Linked DNA regions of Mus musculus. The protein of the gene in region 1 interacts with the protein of each later gene in a biochemical or structural test. Links are inferred from orthologs where the notes say so. Each region holds a gene or a part of one and is shown in the gene's direction. Other genes may lie near its edges.

Region 1 (6,180 bases):
CTTCCTCTCTCTGTCATGCTGCAGAAATTAAAGACACATCTCTGAGCTGGGCACCCGCCAATCGTTTCAAGTAGAGAGTGGCAGAGGAGGTCCTGAGCTGCAGCTCCATGCCACGTGTAAAGGAAGCTTGGAACCCATTGCCTTCAACTCCTGGGGCAAAGGCCTGGAAATCAGACACAGGGTGACGGCTGTCACTGAATGCACACACACCAATCTCCCCCACACCCATTCTAGTGGTCTCCAAGTTTCCATCAGAACCTCAGGCCCTTAATGTAGCAATCACCAGTTCATACCTGTTAGGCTCTTGTCTCTTCTTCCAGGTGAGCCTTGGGGATGCTAGATTGGGAGCAGGGAAAGGGAGCTTTGGATAAGTGCTTTTCTGATACAAAACCCAACAAAGGGTGAGCAGATCACACCGCGCGCGCGCGTGTGTGTGTGTGTGTGTGTGTGTGTGTGTGTGTGTGTGCGCACGCTTCGTGGCATTCTACCCTGGACACAGCCACCTCAAACACCTGTTCCCTCTGAGGTACACCATCCTTGTCCACTGTTGGGGAGTGGGGCATCCTTTGGAACTGACCACAGTGGAAGGCAGGACTTTGGTGAGTTCCGGAACTACCATCTCAGCATCTCAGCCCCAGCCTTGCCCTACAGGCACTGGCATTAGGCGGGGGCAGATCCTGGGCCACAAGTTACTGCCACATGGTTGGGATAATTGATGAAGTCCTGTCCTTCCATTGCTGTCTCCAGCTCTGCTTCTCTGGAAACTCTATATTTTCCCTTTAATTATAGCCCCTGCAGTCTCCCTCCGCCACCCCACCCGCACTGCTCGGCCTAGCTGCCCACGGCCAGCGACGTGGCTCCCTCCCCTTCTGTTCCCTTGGTCTTTTTTTTTTTTCCCTTTGCCTTCGTTGCACAAAACTAGCTCAGGGAGGGCGTGAAGGGGGGGGGGGGAGCAATGGAATCTTGGATGGTTTGGAGGAGGCGGGACTCCCTGCTTCCACGTTTACAGCTCTAAAGAAGCCGGTGGGGGAAGTGATACAGGATGTCTATGGGCCCTGCAAGGAGACCCCAGTGCCTTCCCACACCACCCACACAGTTTGACAAGATGAAGTTCCTAAGCAGATTGGACAGAGCACCTTTGCAGGGTGCAGGGAGCACCGGGGAAGAACGGACACTGTCTTTTAGCGACAACTTTAAATATAAGCTGCTGTTCTTGGGGGACTACAGATGACCCTTTCCTGACGGCAGAGGTGGGGAGCAATGGCCAAGATTTTCAGCAAAGAAGTGAGGACATGGGAAGAAACCATTAAATAAAGTCCCTCAGCTACCAAACACAAGTTTCTGCCACACACTGAGTTCACCTAGGTGTCCCCAGACCACATCCAAGTACAATTAGAAAAGAGGGCTCTCTGTAGCTTTGAGAACACCCCTCTATGGCCAAGTACCTTCTACCTGTTCATTCTGCATTGATATTGCTACATAAGAGGGCCTCTAACAAATCTCTGGCTGTGGCCACAGCTGACACAAGACCTTTTTCTAAAACATCCCTGGTCACAGGCTTCCTGCAACAAACTCACATCCCAGTGCTGGGATGGAGGAGGTCAGAGAAGAATTTATACAACATGCCCCAGGCCCCAGCTTTGAGGACCCAGAAAGCCCCCTGCCCACACTGCTGCTCATCACTTAATGCATAAGCATTCTTCTGGAAGGACAAGGATGTCAAAGGTCTCCCCAAGCCTCAGCCTCAGAGCTGTTATTTATTAGAAAGGTGTGTCTGGCATGGCAGAACAGATAGGCACCCCCTTCCTTTCAAACCACCACATATCTGACTCTTAGTATCTGTGAAGAGATGTATAACTGTTCACAAATATTCCTACCCTCCATTCCTGGGTCCACACCATGAGGTGATCCCCTCCCTCCAACAGGCACATCTGCTTAGCTGATAGGTTCTAATCAGATTAATCTAACTTATTCCTTAGTTCTTCCCCAGGATGCCTGAAAGATTACTAGGCATGGCCAGGAGGACCTTTTCCCAATTATTCCTGACACTGATCCCTTTGTAGTGTTTCCCAACTCAGATTCTCAGTTCTACATCCTTCTGATTTGAAGTCCCAGAAAGAAAGTACAAGGGGTATTCTCTACCCACACTCAGTATACTGAGGGCCCAGCCACACTCCAGTGACAGCACCTCTGGCCCATGTAGATCTGGGGGGCAAGGGCGGCAGAGTTGCGGGAGGGGGGGCGCTGGGTGGACTCCTTTCCCTTCCTTTCCCTCCTCCCCCCTCTTCGTTCCAAATTGGGGGCCGGGCCAGGCAGTTCTGATTGGCTGGGGGCCGGGCTGCTGGCTCCCCCTCTCCGAGAGGCAGGGTTCCTCCCAGCTCTCCATCAAGATGGTATAAAAGGGGCCCAGGCCAGTCGTCGGAGCAGACGGGAGTTTCTCCTCGGGACGGAGCAGGAGGCACGCGGAGTGAGGCCACGCATGAGCCGAAGCTAACCCCCCACCCCAGCCGCAAAGAGTCTACATGTCTAGGGTCTAGACATGTTCAGCTTTGTGGACCTCCGGCTCCTGCTCCTCTTAGGGGCCACTGCCCTCCTGACGCATGGCCAAGAAGACAGTAAGTTCCAAACTCTGGGGAGTTTACTACAGCTTCTTGGTATTGCGTTCTGTATAGAGGGGTCCTAGCAGATAAGACTTAAATGGAGGTGCAGGGCTGCTCCAGAGGCAGGGATGGGACGGTGATGGAGAGGAAACGGGATGAGAGAGGTCACCCTGTTGAGCAGATGAGGGGGAGCAGTTCTCAGAAGTGGAGCCTTGCATGAGATGGCCCAGGAAGAAATTTCAAGCACCCATCTGTAGCACAACAGGAAAAGTGGGAATCTGGACACGGGTTGGGGCAGAGTACGTCGAAAATGAAATAAGGCCTCTGGAATAGAGATTCGGAGCTCAAGATGTAAAAGCTATCAAAAAGGCTGCGGGATGATTCATAAGGAAAGATTGTTTGCCCTCTCTGCAGGCTAGACAGTGTTGCTGGGGCCTCCGGGGTGCTGGGCTCTCGGGGGGGGGGGAGGGGACGCACGGAGAGGGCGGGTTGCTGGATGAGAAAGTTTGGCTAGGACTTGACTGGGCGCGGTCCCTGTGCCTCCTGCTGGCCAGCCGAGAGCACTACGAGTCCTGGTACAGCACTTTACAGCGCACAGGCTGAGAAGGAAAACCTGGGTTATTGCGGACCCTCATCTCCAGACTAGGAAAATAAAAGCAGGGATGGATGGGGTAGCTCTGGTCTTTGAAAGAAGTGACCCAGGCCGAGTAAAAGTCGGTCCGCCCCTGCATTGCTTAGTTTTGCCCGCCACCTAGTGGTTGCCTTGATCAGGTCCTGGAGCGGTGGGCGTGGTTAACTCATCATTACTATTTGTAGACTTGACTTCTTTGGCTAAGGAGATTCCAAAGCACTACTGGCTTTGAAGGACCCGGCTTGTCTAGTTAGCAAGTTTTCAAGATTCCTGGGAGCTGGAAATTGGGATGTATCTAACTTTAGGGATACATTTTACTACACTGGACAGGGCTCCACTGAAATCAGCCCCTCCACATTGTAGCCCCGCCCATTCCGCCCCACCTGCCCCGGGAAAGGAGGTGGGACCAGGGCTGAATTTCCCCTTCTCTCCTCCCACCCCCGCCTCCTGTCTCCGCGCAAACCACGTCCCACGAGCCCCCACCTACTGCGTAGGAGCCCTCCTACTCTCCTTCAGCAGGCTTTTTTATTTCATTTGGTTCCCGCGCGCGTGGGCTGAAGTTGTTTGGAAGAAACCCCAGTCTAGAGCTTTGTTTAAATTCCTGAGAACTGGGACGTTATAGTCCTGGCCAGGCGCCCTGGTGCTGTCACTGAACGTCGCCGATATGGAGCAGACCTGCATTTAAGGATTTGAGGGAAGAATATAGGGAGTGGGGGGAAAGATTCAGGAAGTGGGAAGTCTCCGTGCGCCTCTTAGACAGGGCAAAGAGTGAGTAAGGCTGGGATCCCTGGTGCTCCGGGGTAAGGTCTCTGACCCGCACACATCCTGTGTCTCTTCCCATTTGCTCAGTCCCTGAAGTCAGCTGCATACACAATGGCCTAAGGGTCCCCAATGGTGAGACGTGGAAACCCGAGGTATGCTTGATCTGTATCTGCCACAATGGCACGGCTGTGTGCGATGACGTGCAATGCAATGAAGAACTGGACTGTCCCAACCCCCAAAGACGGGAGGGCGAGTGCTGTGCTTTCTGCCCGGAAGAATACGGTACGGTTCTGGTCCTAGGGTTAAGGGAGGTTGGAGTCCCTCCCTCGCCTATGTCTTGAAAGCCTATAACACCCCCAGGTACCTTAGTAAATTTACTTCTAACTGAACGTTTTTCTCCCCAGTATCACCAAACTCAGAAGATGTAGGAGTCGAGGTAATAATCTGCTCCCTACTTTCCTCCCACCCGTCCACGACCCCCACTGTCCTCCAATAAACTGCAGTTTTCTTTGCTTCTCTTAACGGCCTTTTGTTTCTTCATCCTCAACCCCACAGGGACCCAAGGGAGACCCTGGCCCCCAAGGCCCAAGGGTAAGCATCGTATTCTAAATGAGCTGGGAAACTGGAGGGGGCGTGGCTCTGATTTGTGCTCATAGCAGCCCCCTCCGTCTCTTGGTGCAGGGACCCGTTGGCCCCCCTGGACGAGATGGCATCCCTGGACAGCCTGGACTTCCTGGTCCTCCTGGTCCCCCTGGGCCCCCCGGACCCCCTGGCCTTGGAGGAGTAAGTAGATCTTGGAGACCCCAGAGGGGTGTGACTTCCCGTTTTGTTTGTTTGTTTGTCTGTCTGTTTGTTTGTTTTTCTTTGCTTTGGTTTTGTCAGACATAGTTTTCTATTTTAAAATAATTATAAACTTACAGAAAATAGAATAGAATAGAACTTCTATACACTCTTCAACACAACCGCTTTGCCACTTTCTGGGCACCCAGTTCTCTATGTCGCTGTATGTCCTGGACCATTTGAGACATAAGTTGCCAAGAACGTGCCCGTGACTTACGATCTTAAGTGCATTTCCTAAGAGCAAGGGCATTCTATGGAACCATAGCACCAAATTTAATGTTGATCTAGCCTGATTAATATTGCCTGATATGCAATCTCATTTGCAGATTTCACCAATGCCTCCCAAAATGTTCTTTATAGCATTTCTCCCGCCCCCTTCCTGTCTAAGACCGCCAATTGCATTCCATTGTCTCATTCCTTTGGTTCCCACAAATGTAGACTGTTTCTGAGACTCTATGTCATCCTTGACTTGGGAAGGTTTTGAAGAGTCTGGCTGTTGGGCAGAGGGTGTTATTTTATAGGTTCTTCTGTAGTTTGGGATTGTCTGGTTAGATTAAATTCAGTCGAGGTGTCTGGTACAGGAATATCTTACAGGCTATATTGCTGTCTCCCTGAGTTAATTACTTCCGGAAGCCTACATCCGTTTGTCCCATTACTGCTAATGCCTCCTGGCTTTCAATTTACCATCCAGAGTCCAATTTCTCACACATTCTCTCTTGTTTTTCTAGAACTTTGCTTCCCAGATGTCCTATGGCTATGATGAAAAATCAGCTGGAGTTTCCGTGCCTGGCCCCATGGTGAGCCACCAGGGGGAGCAGTGACCACACAGAGGATAGGCATCCCGAAGAGAAAGGCCAATGATGTCCTGCAAGGGGGTGGTACAGATAGCTTGGGAGGTAAAGGCCACCTTAGGGACTTGAGATCTACAGTAGATGCAAGTCAGACAGTGATCCCCACAGGAAGAGGTAGAAACAGATTTCTGCCATACTGCCTTTATTCACAGATATCAAAAGCCCCTCTTTTTCCTTCTGTAGGGTCCTTCTGGTCCTCGTGGTCTCCCTGGCCCCCCTGGTGCACCTGTACGTATCTAAGGGTCTTCATGGATCATTTTGGGCATGTACTGTTGCGGGGGTGGGGGAGATGGGGATGAGGGCAGAAGGCTGGTAGACATCTCTTGTAAGAGGGAGACAGCCCGGGAGGAACCTGCCTTTCTGAGCCTATCCTTCTCTCGTGTTCTTCAGGGTCCACAAGGTTTCCAAGGCCCCCCTGGTGAACCTGGCGAGCCTGGCGGTTCAGTAAGTTAGTCCTCCATGCCGACACACCTCCATCTCCACAAATTCTCCTATG
Region 2 (6,112 bases), on another chromosome or scaffold:
TAGACATAAGGTATAGAAGCAGGAGGGGATCCATGCTTGCACTCACTGAGGAGACACACACACACAAGAAGGGGGTAGCGTACACACAGGCAAACATATACATGCACACATGCTCATATGCACATACACACACATACACAAACACACACATAAACACATACACATGCACATATACACACACACACATATGAACTCACACAGACAGACTGTATTCTCCCTACTAAAGATAGTAACTCCTGCTTTTTCCCTTGCTTCTCTACAACATCCCAAGAGTGTGCTGAATTTCTGTCATCTGCTCACAGCACATGATGATCGGGACTTTGGGTGGTGGTGATTGGGAATATGGGTGAGACCTCATAGCTGCCTAGGAACCTCATCTCCTGCAAACCAGGACAGCTGGATTGTCATGCTGTGTTTAGGGAAAGACTCTATGTTTGTATTCAACATCTCCTAGGCCACTGCCAGCTTTCAGTACAACAAAGCTCTCCCATAATGCCTTATCTGAAAGGTGTGGAGGAGGTCAAAACTTGTATTGTGTTGTTGAAAGGAGCCAAGTTACAAACTGTCCACACCCCCTCAGTCTGGACAGCACATGGCCCAAAGGGGCAGACCCTGATTGCTCCTGATCCATCAGCAAGGTGTAGCTGGGCCTAGGGAAGTTGGTGGCTTTACACAAGGAGAGAAGCTCTTGTCTGTGGGCCGCTGACATTCACCTCTGTGGTACAAAACTCATGAGGAAAGAGGGTCTCAAGACCAGCCCTCCCAGGGCAGTCCCAAAGGTTCCTGCAGGAAGAATTAGTGCTGAGCAGGATATTTAAAGCAATCGCCTTCCACAAAGCAAAGAGGACCTGCGGAAGGAACTGGAAGCGAAGAGCAAGCCTGCCTGATGATCCCGAATCTTCAGATTCAGTGGCTGAGTCAGGGCCTGTGACTTCAAGGGCAGGAATCTAACTTGACTAATCAACCAGTAGAAACTTTTACTGCTGGCTCTGAGTATCTGAAGTCTAATAAACAAACACATCTTGGGAACGTACTTATCTACAAGAGGCACTGGCTGTGTAGCTGTGTACCCGGAGTAACTAGGAAACACTCTGTAAGCCCCTCCTTGCGTGTACGCACACATACCACGCACACTCACACACCTTGTCACCGAACACTCCCTCCCACACAAGGAAAGTGAAATTGCTGTGTGATGAGCATAAAGTCCTGGGTGTTTCCAAGGTTTGGGAGTCCAGCCAGGTGTAACTGATAAGGGGAGGGAGCCCCAGCTGTCCCTCAGCCGGCCCCGCCCTGATTCTGCCAAGATCCTTATTTGGTGATGCTTTTACCTGGATCCCTGGACTCAGAGCCAAGCCTGCTCACGCAGGGCCACAGCTGGAGAAGCATCGCCGCCGCTGACGTCCCTTCCCAAAGAGATGAATGGAATTCCAGGCAGCTGGAGTCATCTTGGCTCCGGACCGATGGCATTGAGACCAGACTTCAGAGACAAAGGATCAGGCAGCAGTCTACTGATGGAAAAGTGTATACCCACAGAAATGTAAACCACACCTCGGTTTTGGGAGCCGAAAAAATGAAAAAAAAACTGTTTAGGGAGAAAGATGGGAAATAAAATAATAGGTAGAGAGTAATTTATAACTCTACGGGTCCGTTCTGTAAATAGTGTAAGATCCTGGAGCCAGATGGTTCAGCAAATTCTCCTATCGGGAGTCACGTTAAGAAACACGAGTGGGCACAAAATTGTTTTTCAAGACACAATTTCAATTTTGCCTTGAGGGAGCGGGATATAAATTCGCTTCCTTAAAATGCCGCTAAAAACTCTCCGAAAGGATCCCCTAAATCAGAATACATATACCGCCCCCAAGCGGCCATCTGAGGAAGCAAAGTAGAACTGGGGAAAAAACTCTCGACTTGGACAGTGAGTCGGAAGGCGACCTCCGTGCACGGTCCTGCTGGCCCTGTGCAACACCGTGCTGACACCCTTAGTGAGTCAGACGGAAGGCAGGCGTGCGGGACAGGAGTGAAGCGCAAAGTATAGATGACATGGGATCCCCCACCCACCAGGATTGACTCAGGAGGCAGCTTCCTTTAAGGGGTCCAACCTTTTGCCCTCTTTTATTTTTAAACCAGACTGTCTCGATCCCCAAGCGTCTCTGTCATGGAATTATTCAAGGAGATGTGCTTTAATGAAAGCCTCCCTAAAGGGTCTTAGGTGGTCCCCAAAGAAGCATCGCGTCTGGGGACTCTCATGCAGAACGTCTCCAGTTCACATGGCGCAAGATCCTAAGCGCTAAAGGCTGAGTACGCCAAGGCTGCGTGGGCGGAGACCTATTTTTCTGACAAGTTCCAGGGCTCCTGTGCGGGATCGGAGTCTCCCCCTTCACTTTCAGCCCGAGAGCTGTGCGCCAAGCAGCAGGGGGCGGAGAAATGAACCCGTCCGTCCCCGTCCCCCGCCCCCGCCCCCGAGAACCCTCCCCCCTCCCTGCTTCCTGCCTCTTTAAAAGGTCCTGGGCTCCTCAGTCAAGCCAGCCACTGCCTGGAGTCAGCCAGCCTCATCGGACTTCTGCAGGCAATCGCGAAGCTGCTATCCAGTTCTGCCACGGTCTCTCCCGGCGCACCGGCAGTCTCAGCGTCTTCACCGGACTCAGCGTCCTTGTCCTTCACTTCACCTTTGCCACCTCTCCGGGTTACTGAGCCCCGGTGCACACAGGTAAACCTCCCGCCTCTGCGGAGCACCTGGCCGGCCACCTCAAAGCCCCAGGCTGCAGATGATCAGCGCTACTCCTCATCTCCTACTCTTCCCCTTCTGGTTTTCCTAACTCCTTTATCCTGCCCCGTCTATCCCCTGGAAAGAACTTTCCGGAGCTGGTTCTCTTCAGCCTTCGGGTTCACAAACTATACCTCCAAGACACCCCAAGATTTTCTCCCCAGTAGTCTCCAGGTTACCCCTGACTGTCGCCATCCAAAATACATTCTGTAATCTTGTCTAAAGGGGCGGGGGGGAGGGGACGGACCCAAGTCACTTTATACCCTTTATCCTGGAACTCCAACAATCCCCCTGCCTCTGGCGCTCTTTTTATACTGGATACCGTTTGGAAAGTAAACCCTTCTTTTTCAGCACATATGGGGCAAAAGAAGAAACACACACACACACACACACACACACACACACACACACACACACACACCTCTGCCCTTCCACCTTGCTTCCTGGTCTCTGACTCTGGCCTCCTGTGCTTCTTGCTACAGGCTCCGTGTTGGGCACAAAGGCTCCACCATGGAGCTCCTGCGGGGACTAGGTGTCCTGTTCCTGTTGCATATGTGTGGAAGCAACCGCATTCCAGGTGAGTTTGTGATATATTCATTTTCCTCCCCCTTCTCCTCTCTCTCTCTCTCTCTCTCTCTCTCTCTCTCTCTCTCTCTCTCTCTCGATAGCTCCTGTGTTTCCTTGGAGTCCTTATCTCCTGATAAGGATGCAGCTTCCCTCGCTCAGCTTTCCATAATTGCCATTATTGTCACGAGTTCCCACCTTGGCTCCTCACAGCCAGAACTTTACCCCCTTATACCTAGCCTAGAAAGCCGATTGTCTTCTCTCTCCTTACAGAGTCTGGGGGAGATAACGGTGTGTTTGACATCTTTGAACTCATTGGAGGTGCACGAAGGGGCCCCGGTCGCCGACTGGTGAAGGGCCAAGATCTATCCAGCCCCGCCTTCCGCATTGAGAATGCCAACCTGATCCCCGCTGTGCCGGATGACAAGTTCCAAGACCTACTGGACGCTGTGTGGGCCGACAAAGGCTTCATCTTCCTGGCTTCCTTGAGGCAGATGAAGAAGACCCGGGGCACACTCCTGGCTGTGGAACGGAAAGACAACACTGGCCAGATCTTCAGTGTGGTCTCCAACGGCAAAGCTGGCACCCTGGACCTGAGCCTGAGCCTGCCAGGGAAGCAACAAGTGGTGTCAGTGGAGGAAGCTCTCCTGGCCACTGGCCAGTGGAAGAGCATCACGCTGTTTGTTCAAGAGGACCGGGCTCAACTCTACATAGACTGTGATAAGATGGAGAGCGCGGAGCTGGATGTACCCATCCAGAGCATCTTCACCAGGGATCTGGCCAGCGTTGCCAGGCTCCGAGTTGCAAAGGGAGATGTCAATGACAATTTTCAGGTAAATCTTCTTACCTGTCACAAGGGCTATGTGGAATTAATATCGGTAGACTAAAAATGATTCTCAAATGTAAAGAGGAACAGACACCCCCAGAAGGTTGGTTAAATCATATTACAGATGACCCAAAACTCCAGGGTTTCAGATTTGATAGGGACCCGAGAAATTTTGTTCCTAATAAGAAATAAGTTGTAATGGTGCCAGGACCTGGGACCCATGCTTTCAAAGCTATCAGGAGAGATAAGAAATGGTTTTCCTATTACACTCAGCCTGTTTCAGAATGGGGTACTCCCTGTGCCCTTAGGAAAGTAACTTGTATCAAATGTACCTAGCAGTTTTAATAGGGCATGAAAAGGATACTTTGTCAGTATTTGAGTCCCTGGGCAGGGTGTTCTGGGTGCTTTCAGTATGGATCTAAGGCAAGACATGAATAACAGTCCAGTCATGTGCCTCTGGGACTCCTTACTTGCCTTAACTTTCAGATATTTTTTTTTCTTACAAGCGTGGCTTTGAACGCCCACATTAACTCTTTGTCACTGGAGAGTATCATGTCCTCCAGACTTGGGATCAAATTCCATTTCCTGTGTACCCCAAGCAGCCTGAAAACTGGATTCTTTGTAAAATGCTCCAGTTGGCAGAAGACACAATTAAGATTTTGAAGTTGTTCGGCAATTTATGTCTCTGTGATAGTTTGGCAGGATGATCTTAAGTTCTTTTAAACTTTCTGAGCGTTCACCACAAGCAAACTCAGACTGGCCGCCCCACCCCCACGCCCAGCATTAAACCACGTCTGTCCTCTGCCCACAGGGGGTGCTGCAGAATGTGAGGTTTGTCTTTGGAACCACCCCAGAAGACATTCTCAGGAACAAAGGCTGCTCCAGCTGTGAGTACCCCTGTGTTTTTTAAGATTTGGAGAATTCTGGGGAAGTCCACCGAAAGCACCCTGATTAATGTAAGCAGTAGGGTGCATACACAATATCTCAGGGGGAGCAGAGTTGGCTCGCACCCACTCTGTCATTCCAAAGGAAATGTCTTTTATAACCCAGAACCCGAAGGGTAGGCTGGTGGGATCAGCTGTTGAAACCTTGAATCAGCTATCGAATACGTTACATCTTATTTCTTAGCAGCTACCAACGTCCTTCTTACCCTTGACAACAACGTGGTGAACGGTTCCAGCCCTGCTATCCGCACCAACTACATCGGCCACAAAACAAAGGACCTCCAAGCTATCTGTGGCCTCTCCTGTGATGAACTATCCAGCATGGTCCTGGAACTGAAGGGCCTGCGCACCATCGTGACCACTCTGCAGGACAGCATCCGAAAAGTGGTCAGTGGCTTCCCCTCCCATTTGCCAGCTCTTGGAAATCACCACAGGTGGTCCCATGGGAGCCTGGACACTCATGAGCCTTCTCCCCTTTCAGACGGAAGAGAACAGAGAGCTGGTCAGTGAGCTGAAGCGGCCTCCCCTCTGCTTTCACAATGGAGTCCAGTACAAGAACAACGAGGAGTGGACTGTAGACAGTTGCACAGAGTGTCACTGCCAGGTAAGAGACACTCACAGACTGCAATAAGACTTGGAGACATATGTCTCGGGAGATACGTAAATGACTACACACATTTTTAAATGTGCTCTGGCCTGCTACCAAAGTGATTTTTTTTTCTTTAATATGTAATGACATCTGCAAATTCCTCTTTAAATCTCAGAAGGTTTATCTTAATAATACCCCAGGCTGAGCAGCTAAGAGAACAAATCTATCTAAACGTTGGAATGACTTACCTGCTTTAGTTCAAAGACCAAGTATTGAGTGTCAGATACATAAAACCCGCTTAAAGCATTCGGTTTTGGCCAGCCCTAATTTGTATTCAGCTCTGGCAGACAGATTCTTCTAACACTGTTCGGATCTCTGGCTCACCGGGAAAAGTTTAAATGCAAATCACTGGTTACTGAATTTGA
Region 3 (6,231 bases), about 40 Mb from region 1:
GTGTTGTTGGAGACTTAGTGGCAGATAGGGAGCTCAACCAGGCTTCCTTTGCCTCTTCCTTCCCTCCCTGGGAAGCCCCGAGTGAGGCAGGAGGCCCAGCCCTCTCTTCTGTCCCCTGTCATGATCAGGGTCAGTCTTTCTGCAGGACTTCTGCGCCTTGGCATGCTTTAATTCTAAATTCAAATCCTCTGGGGACTTCAATCATTCTCTTTTTTTCCTCTTATTTGTTTGTGTGTTTGTGGCAGGGGGTGGAGTGAGAACACCACAGTGGGTAAACCGGGGGAGGGGGGGGAGGAGAAAAAGAACAGCTTGCAGCAGCTGTAGGGTCTTCCCTTCCTCTGTGTGGGCTTCGGATTAGGACTCAGCTTCTCATGCTTGGTGACAAGCATCTTTACCTGCTGAGCCACCTGGCTGGCCGGTGAGATTCTGGATCTCTGTCCTCCCAGGAACCGTCAGTAGCATTCCCACAAACTGCATCCCCAGCCCCAAACAGGTTTCCAACTCTTGCACTCCAAGTGAACTTGTTCTATCTTTGGTCTAACTTTGGTATGACCCAAAGTCTGTACTAGGTATAGTTCTTTTTGCTTAGTTTGAAGCACGAGGCTTCAGTTAATTTAAGTCTCCTCAATGCCCAGAGCTGCAGTAAGCAATCCTGTGGAAATAGACATCGGTCCTATGGGCAGAGCAGATGCTTAGGGAGTCTATTGGAACCCCAAATTTGGTGGCCTAAAGCTCCCAGTTGTTGGATCAAGGAGAAGACTCAGGAGTCTTATGTAGGTGCAAAAGTCTCCTTAGGATTCTTCACAGGCCCTTTGGAGAGAGAACCTGAAGGAAGCCATAACTCTTCTCTGCAGAAAAATGTGCGGGTACTCAGGAGGTCTGAGGGTCTCTGTCCCAGACTGGAACCCTAAGAAAAGAGTCCCTTCTGTTTTCTTCAGGCGGGATAGTGGAAGGCCACTCACTGATTACAAACAAAGCAAAACTAACTAAAAACCTTTCGGACAGATGCATGAAAGCCCCCATTTTCCTGGGCTGCTTGTCAAGGGAAGGCAGCAGATGGTGCTATACGGTATGGGAGGGAGGGAGATGATGTTGAGGTGTCTACTTCCTGTGAGAGAGGCAAGGAGACTTATATGTTGAGTGGACAAGGAGGGCTTATCTAAGGAGGTGACATTAGAATAGAGTTCTGAAGGATGAGAAAGGTCCAGGCTCAGGAAAGGTCCAGTCCAAACTGCTTTGGCTGGAGAGCAGGAGGAGTGTGGTAGATGAGGGCGTGGCAGGGAAGGCAGGGATCCTGGTGTGTATAAGCTTATCTCTAGACTGTTCTTTTACCTTCTCCAGTCCCCTGTTATCCAAACTCAATGGCTGCTTCGATATCTACGCTTTCAGGAAGTTTCTGCTGATCTGACCCCCTGGGAGAAGCCTTGGGGTCTGCATCACTGAGGAAGTGGTTCTGCACATGAGGTGCATCCCTTTAGCCACACCCCAAACTCCTGCCACCACGTCTATTCTGGTACCTCCCCAGGTAGGCAGGCCCAAAATGTTCAGTCAAGAGCTGCTGCATAGATGAGGAGTGTCCATGTTCCCCAAAGAAGAGTGGGGCTGAAATGTAGACTCAGCGTTCTCAGACCACTTTTGGTCAGGTGTTACTGGGTAAGCTGTTTGCCCTGCGTGAGCCTGTGCCCCTGTTATTAAAATGGCCTCTTGGGACCGGAGAGATGGCTCAGCGGGTAAGAGCACTGACTGCTCTTCCAGAGGTCCTGAGTTCAATTCCCAGCGACCACATGGTGGCACACAACCATCTGTAATGGGGTCCGATGTCCTCTTCTGGTGTGTCTGTCTGGGCTGCAAATGCAGCTTCATTGGTAGCATGCTTGCTTAACAATCATTAACACCCCCCCCTGCCCCCCCCCCGGCCCCGAGGTCAATCCTCAGCACTAAATAAAATAGTCATGGTAGGTAGCACACACATGTAATCCTAGCACCCTGGAAGTAGATAGAAGTAGGAAGATCAATAGTTCAAGGTCATCCTCAGCTACATAGTGAGTGGTCAGCCCAGGCTACGTGCGACCTCTTCCAAAACCAAACAACACCTAAATGAAAGGCCTGTGGCTTCCCCACCAACCCTGCTATTGCTTCTGATCTGACTATCAGTATTATTGCTCTGAGTTTGTCAGGTACTGACAGCGCAAGTCTTCCAGCTTAGTTCTAATCCTTCACGTACCCGTGGTTGGTGCCACTAGACCTAGAGGGGACTTCGCCTCGTTATCAAGGATGATGCCACCAGTATCACCAGTGGCAGCTTGTTTTGTTGGCACTGAGAAAACTGGGTACTTTTGCTCCCCCACTGCCATGCCAGCGTGCACTCTCTGCCTTGCTGTACATTGCTAAGCCCAAGAGAGTGCTCAGGCAAGTTCACTCGCTGGCTGTGTGTAAAGTAGGACAAGGGGCTTAGCCGTGCCTCTGTGACTCTCTCTCTCTCTCTCTTCTCTCGGTTAATGTCTAGGACTCTTCAGTCAGCAGCCTCGGCTCTGAACAAGGCCTGGCCTGTTCTAGGTGATTCCAGCAGCTGTTCCAGCCCTGACCCTCATGTCTGTTTAGGCAGGAGCCCCAGAACAGATGAGACAGGTGGGGCCAGGGTGTCTGGGTAGCACACAGCCTACCACAAGGCAAGGAAGGGAGAAAGAAAAGACAGCTTTGGTTCTGGGGAGAAGGGGGAGGCAGGCCAGGGGAAGGAGGAGACAGAGGAGGAGGAGGGCCTTTGAGTGGAGGCGGAGGGTGAGACAGACCCTGCCCAGAGCTCCAAGAGGCTTCCTGCTGCTCGCCTCTAAACCCCTCCACATTCCTGCAGCCCTTCAGACCGCCAGAACTCTTCTGCCGCCTGCCTGCCTGCCTGCCTGCCTGCCTGCCTGTGCCGAGGTATGCACCTCCCTGTCAGCCCCTGCCCTTCTGTAAGCTTCATCATCTCCTCTCTGCCCCATCCCCATGACCAGTCTCAGGGGGAGGTGAGCTGGAAACCTGTTGCTCACTCACAGGGGAACTTGTTGTCTCTGTAGCACTGCAGAAAATAGCCATGGTTTGCGGGGACCGCTTTCTCTGTGTTCTCTGGTGGCAGAGGCTACTGGTCTGTCCTCTGTCACCCTCGGAGGCAGCTGCCTCCTTTTCTGAGAATCCGATCCTCATTTGCCCATCATGACTGCCAACCCAGAGAAAATCTGGCTGGCAGCCTGTTGGGTCTGGCTTCCTATTCTGGGAGAACAGACATCCAGTTCTGGGTCAGAGCACTGTTGTCCAAATGGGACTTTGCAAGAAGGATAAACAGATCTGTAAACAGCCAAGGCAAGACATTCCCTTTAGTCAGTTCCTCTGGGAAGGCTCTGGTCCCTTCAATCTCTGTCCACCCCCACCCCATCACCCCGTGGCATTTCAGTCAGTCTGAAATGCCATTGTCTCTCCCAGCCTGGGGTTGCCATTGTTCCCAGCCTAATTCTGAGAGGTGGTCATCACTGGCATTAACATTGCTTCTACCGTATCTAGACATCTGAGAAAGCCAACAATTTGATACAATCCAGAGACGACAGGGAGGAGGGTGTGATGGGGAGGAGGGAGACAGAGAGATATAGCTCCAGGACACTTTTCTTGCTACTACTGAATCTATCCAAGACTCAGCCTGTTGAAAGCTTGTCTGCTCCAAGCTGTTCTGTAAACTTCCTGTGACTCCTAGAATGGCTGGAAATAAGCCTCACCTAAGGGGGACAAACAGGTATCAGGCATCTGCCTCAGGGACAGACAGCACACCTGCAGGGAGGGAGTGTCTCCACTGACAACTCTTTTAAGTTTCTAGAACCTTCCTAGTGTAGGGAGTGGAGTGAGATGCGGACCCTACATGAGGTAACAAGCTTTAGGCAATTTGTGGGCGATCTCACATAGCCATCTCCCCTGAGTGTAGCCTTCCTGTCCTAAGGAAGAGGGATAGCTTTTGGGGTACCCGAATTCCCCTAAGACTTCCCAAGCAGGGTCACTTAATTGAGCCTATAAAGTGGTCTACGAATAAGCAACTTCAAAGAGTCTCTGGAATTAGTGTGTGTATGTGAGTGCGCGTGCATGAGTGTTTCTGTTTGTGTTTAAGAGATGATGGGTGTCCACAGCTTTTAGGTTTAAGATATTCCCAAACAGATGCAGACCCCCAGAATGGTGTGACGGTGTAAGGTGTAATTCGGAAATAGAAACAAATTTGTATTTGCCAAGGATTAAACCTGAAAGAAGTGGTTGAGGGAAGAGTTAACTCTGGTTAACTTAGCCATCGGCTGCCACATCGACAGAGCGGCACTGAGGGAGGGGGAGGGGGTGGGGTGGCTCTGGGAGAAGGAGTCAGCTTTTGAAACTTTCTCCAAGCCCCACCCACCAAGAGGCTCTTCTCTCCCGTGACTCACTCCGAGAGGAATGCGAGTTGCCACGGCAACCTCCCCCACCCCCCCACCCTAGGGTCTCTGCGTACTGGCTGGGAGGGGACTCTGGGAACGCTCAGGGACCTTTAGGTTCCAGTCCCCCCAAACCGCTGCCACGGCTGCCGCCACCGCACCTCACCCCTGCCCCAGATACAAGGACCACAGCAAACTCTTGCCCTGTCCCCATTTCCCACGTCCCAGGGCCCCCAGGACTGTGATAAGCCTCGCTAGATCTGCCCTTTGCAGGACAGAGGGTTTGGATCTGTGCTTAGTGTCATTTGGCCTTGAACTAATCTGTCTTCCGGAACTCCGGTTTCCTCCCTATTTCGGGTAAAAGCAGCAGTCCCTCGGAGAAGGGGCAGGATGAAACGGGCTAAAGCATGCCCTGGGGGAGCACTTTGCAACCTCACTCCCTTCTAAAGAGACTAAGATTCTTAGCACAAAGGGGATTGTTCAAAGTCCTTTTTCTTCTGGCTGCTCCAACATTTGGGGTCCAGAGAACATCTTCTTAGTAAAAAGTGGTGACAGGAATATTTTTAAAAATACATTGCTTAAATTCATTTCAATTTGGGGGATCTTCTTGTCAGTTTCTCAAGAGTAATGCATCCTCCCCTAGAGAAAGACTGGTGATCAAGTGCTTGCTGCATCAGCCTGAGGACGCCAGGTTTTTTCCTTACCCCCCACCTGGGGAGCCAGGTGTGGTGACCCATGTCTCTAATCCCAGTGCTACCAGAAACAGGCCAGTCTGTAGAGCTCACTTGGCTGACTCATTAGCTTCGGGTTAGTAAGAGACCCTGTCTCAAAATATAAGGTAGTGGGGTTTAGTGGCACTCGCCTTTAATCTCAGCACTTAGGAGGGAGAGGCAGGCTGGTCTTTGGGAGGTAGAGACCAGCCTGGTCTATATAAGTGAATTCCAGACTACTGAGGGATTTGGAGAAAGATCTTGTCTCAGAAAAACAAAGAAAAGGTAAAGAACAACTGAAAAAGACATTGACTTCTGGCTTACACACATACACACACACACACACACACACACACACACACACACACACACCATATATACATCACACACAGACATGGAAGGAAGGAAGGAAGGAAGGAAGGAAGGAAGGAAGGAAGGAAGGAAGAGAGGGAGGGTATTGGTCAAAAGCATGGGTTACAGCTCAATGGTGACATTGGGAAAGACGCTAACCTGTCTTAGCCTCAGTTTCCCAATCTGTCAGGTGGGGATGATCTGAGCTAGATGTTCTCTGAATGAACCCAGTCCCAGTCACTGGTTTCCTTAGAAGGAGCAGCATCCTGCATGTTTAACAGCAGCCTCCTTTCTTGATTTAGGAGAGGAAATAGGAAGAAGGCTCGGGAGGCACTATCCTCAATCCAGCTGTGGGCTCTGCAGCCCAATGCACAGCTGGGCTTGCTATTTCCAGCGGCAGCTTTCCGTGTTGAAAATAAGCTTTAAGCAGCAGAGGATACGAGGCAAAGCATGTTTGCCTGTGGAAGTCTTTTAGGCCAGCAGATGAGTCTGGGGAGATAAACTGGCAAATGCGAACACATGGGGCACAGAGTTTAAATATGTAGATTTTACCACCAGCCTAGCTAAAAATAAGTGCAGGATGTGGCCACACCCTCACATTCTTTTTCCAGTGATATTCTCACACACGCACGCATGTACACGCACACACACCACACAGAGGGAGAGAGATTCTTTAAGTACATCTTAAAAAATATTTTAACAATATATTTTTTTTAATTTGAGCTGGGTGGTGGTGGCACACACTTTTA

What was found.
Region 2: the proteins of Col1a1 (region 1) and Thbs1 form a complex in vitro, tested with the Homo sapiens proteins (2 studies listed by BioGRID). The link is inferred for Mus musculus from reciprocal best matches to the Homo sapiens genes COL1A1 and THBS1.
Region 3: the proteins of Col1a1 (region 1) and Sparc form a complex in vitro, tested with the Homo sapiens proteins (2 studies listed by BioGRID). The link is inferred for Mus musculus from reciprocal best matches to the Homo sapiens genes COL1A1 and SPARC.

The regions. Positions count from the first base shown.
Region 1 is NC_000077.6:94,933,830-94,940,009, forward strand, and holds the start of Col1a1 (collagen alpha-1(I) chain preproprotein), read left to right. Parts: upstream 1-2,394; 5' UTR 2,395-2,539; coding exon 2,540-2,615; intron 2,616-4,080; coding exon 4,081-4,275; intron 4,276-4,397; coding exon 4,398-4,429; intron 4,430-4,548; coding exon 4,549-4,584; intron 4,585-4,674; coding exon 4,675-4,776; intron 4,777-5,561; coding exon 5,562-5,630; intron 5,631-5,867; coding exon 5,868-5,912; intron 5,913-6,074; coding exon 6,075-6,128; intron 6,129-6,180. UniProt on the Homo sapiens protein: Type I collagen is a member of group I collagen (fibrillar forming collagen).
Region 2 is NC_000068.7:118,109,369-118,115,480, forward strand, and holds the start of Thbs1 (thrombospondin-1 isoform 1 precursor), read left to right. Parts: upstream 1-2,507; 5' UTR 2,508-2,707; intron 2,708-3,246; 5' UTR 3,247-3,274; coding exon 3,275-3,341; intron 3,342-3,601; coding exon 3,602-4,161; intron 4,162-4,965; coding exon 4,966-5,041; intron 5,042-5,282; coding exon 5,283-5,485; intron 5,486-5,579; coding exon 5,580-5,702; intron 5,703-6,112. UniProt on the Homo sapiens protein: Adhesive glycoprotein that mediates cell-to-cell and cell-to-matrix interactions.
Region 3 is NC_000077.6:55,416,476-55,422,706, reverse strand, and holds the start of Sparc (SPARC precursor), read left to right. Parts: upstream 1-2,626; 5' UTR 2,627-2,919; intron 2,920-6,231.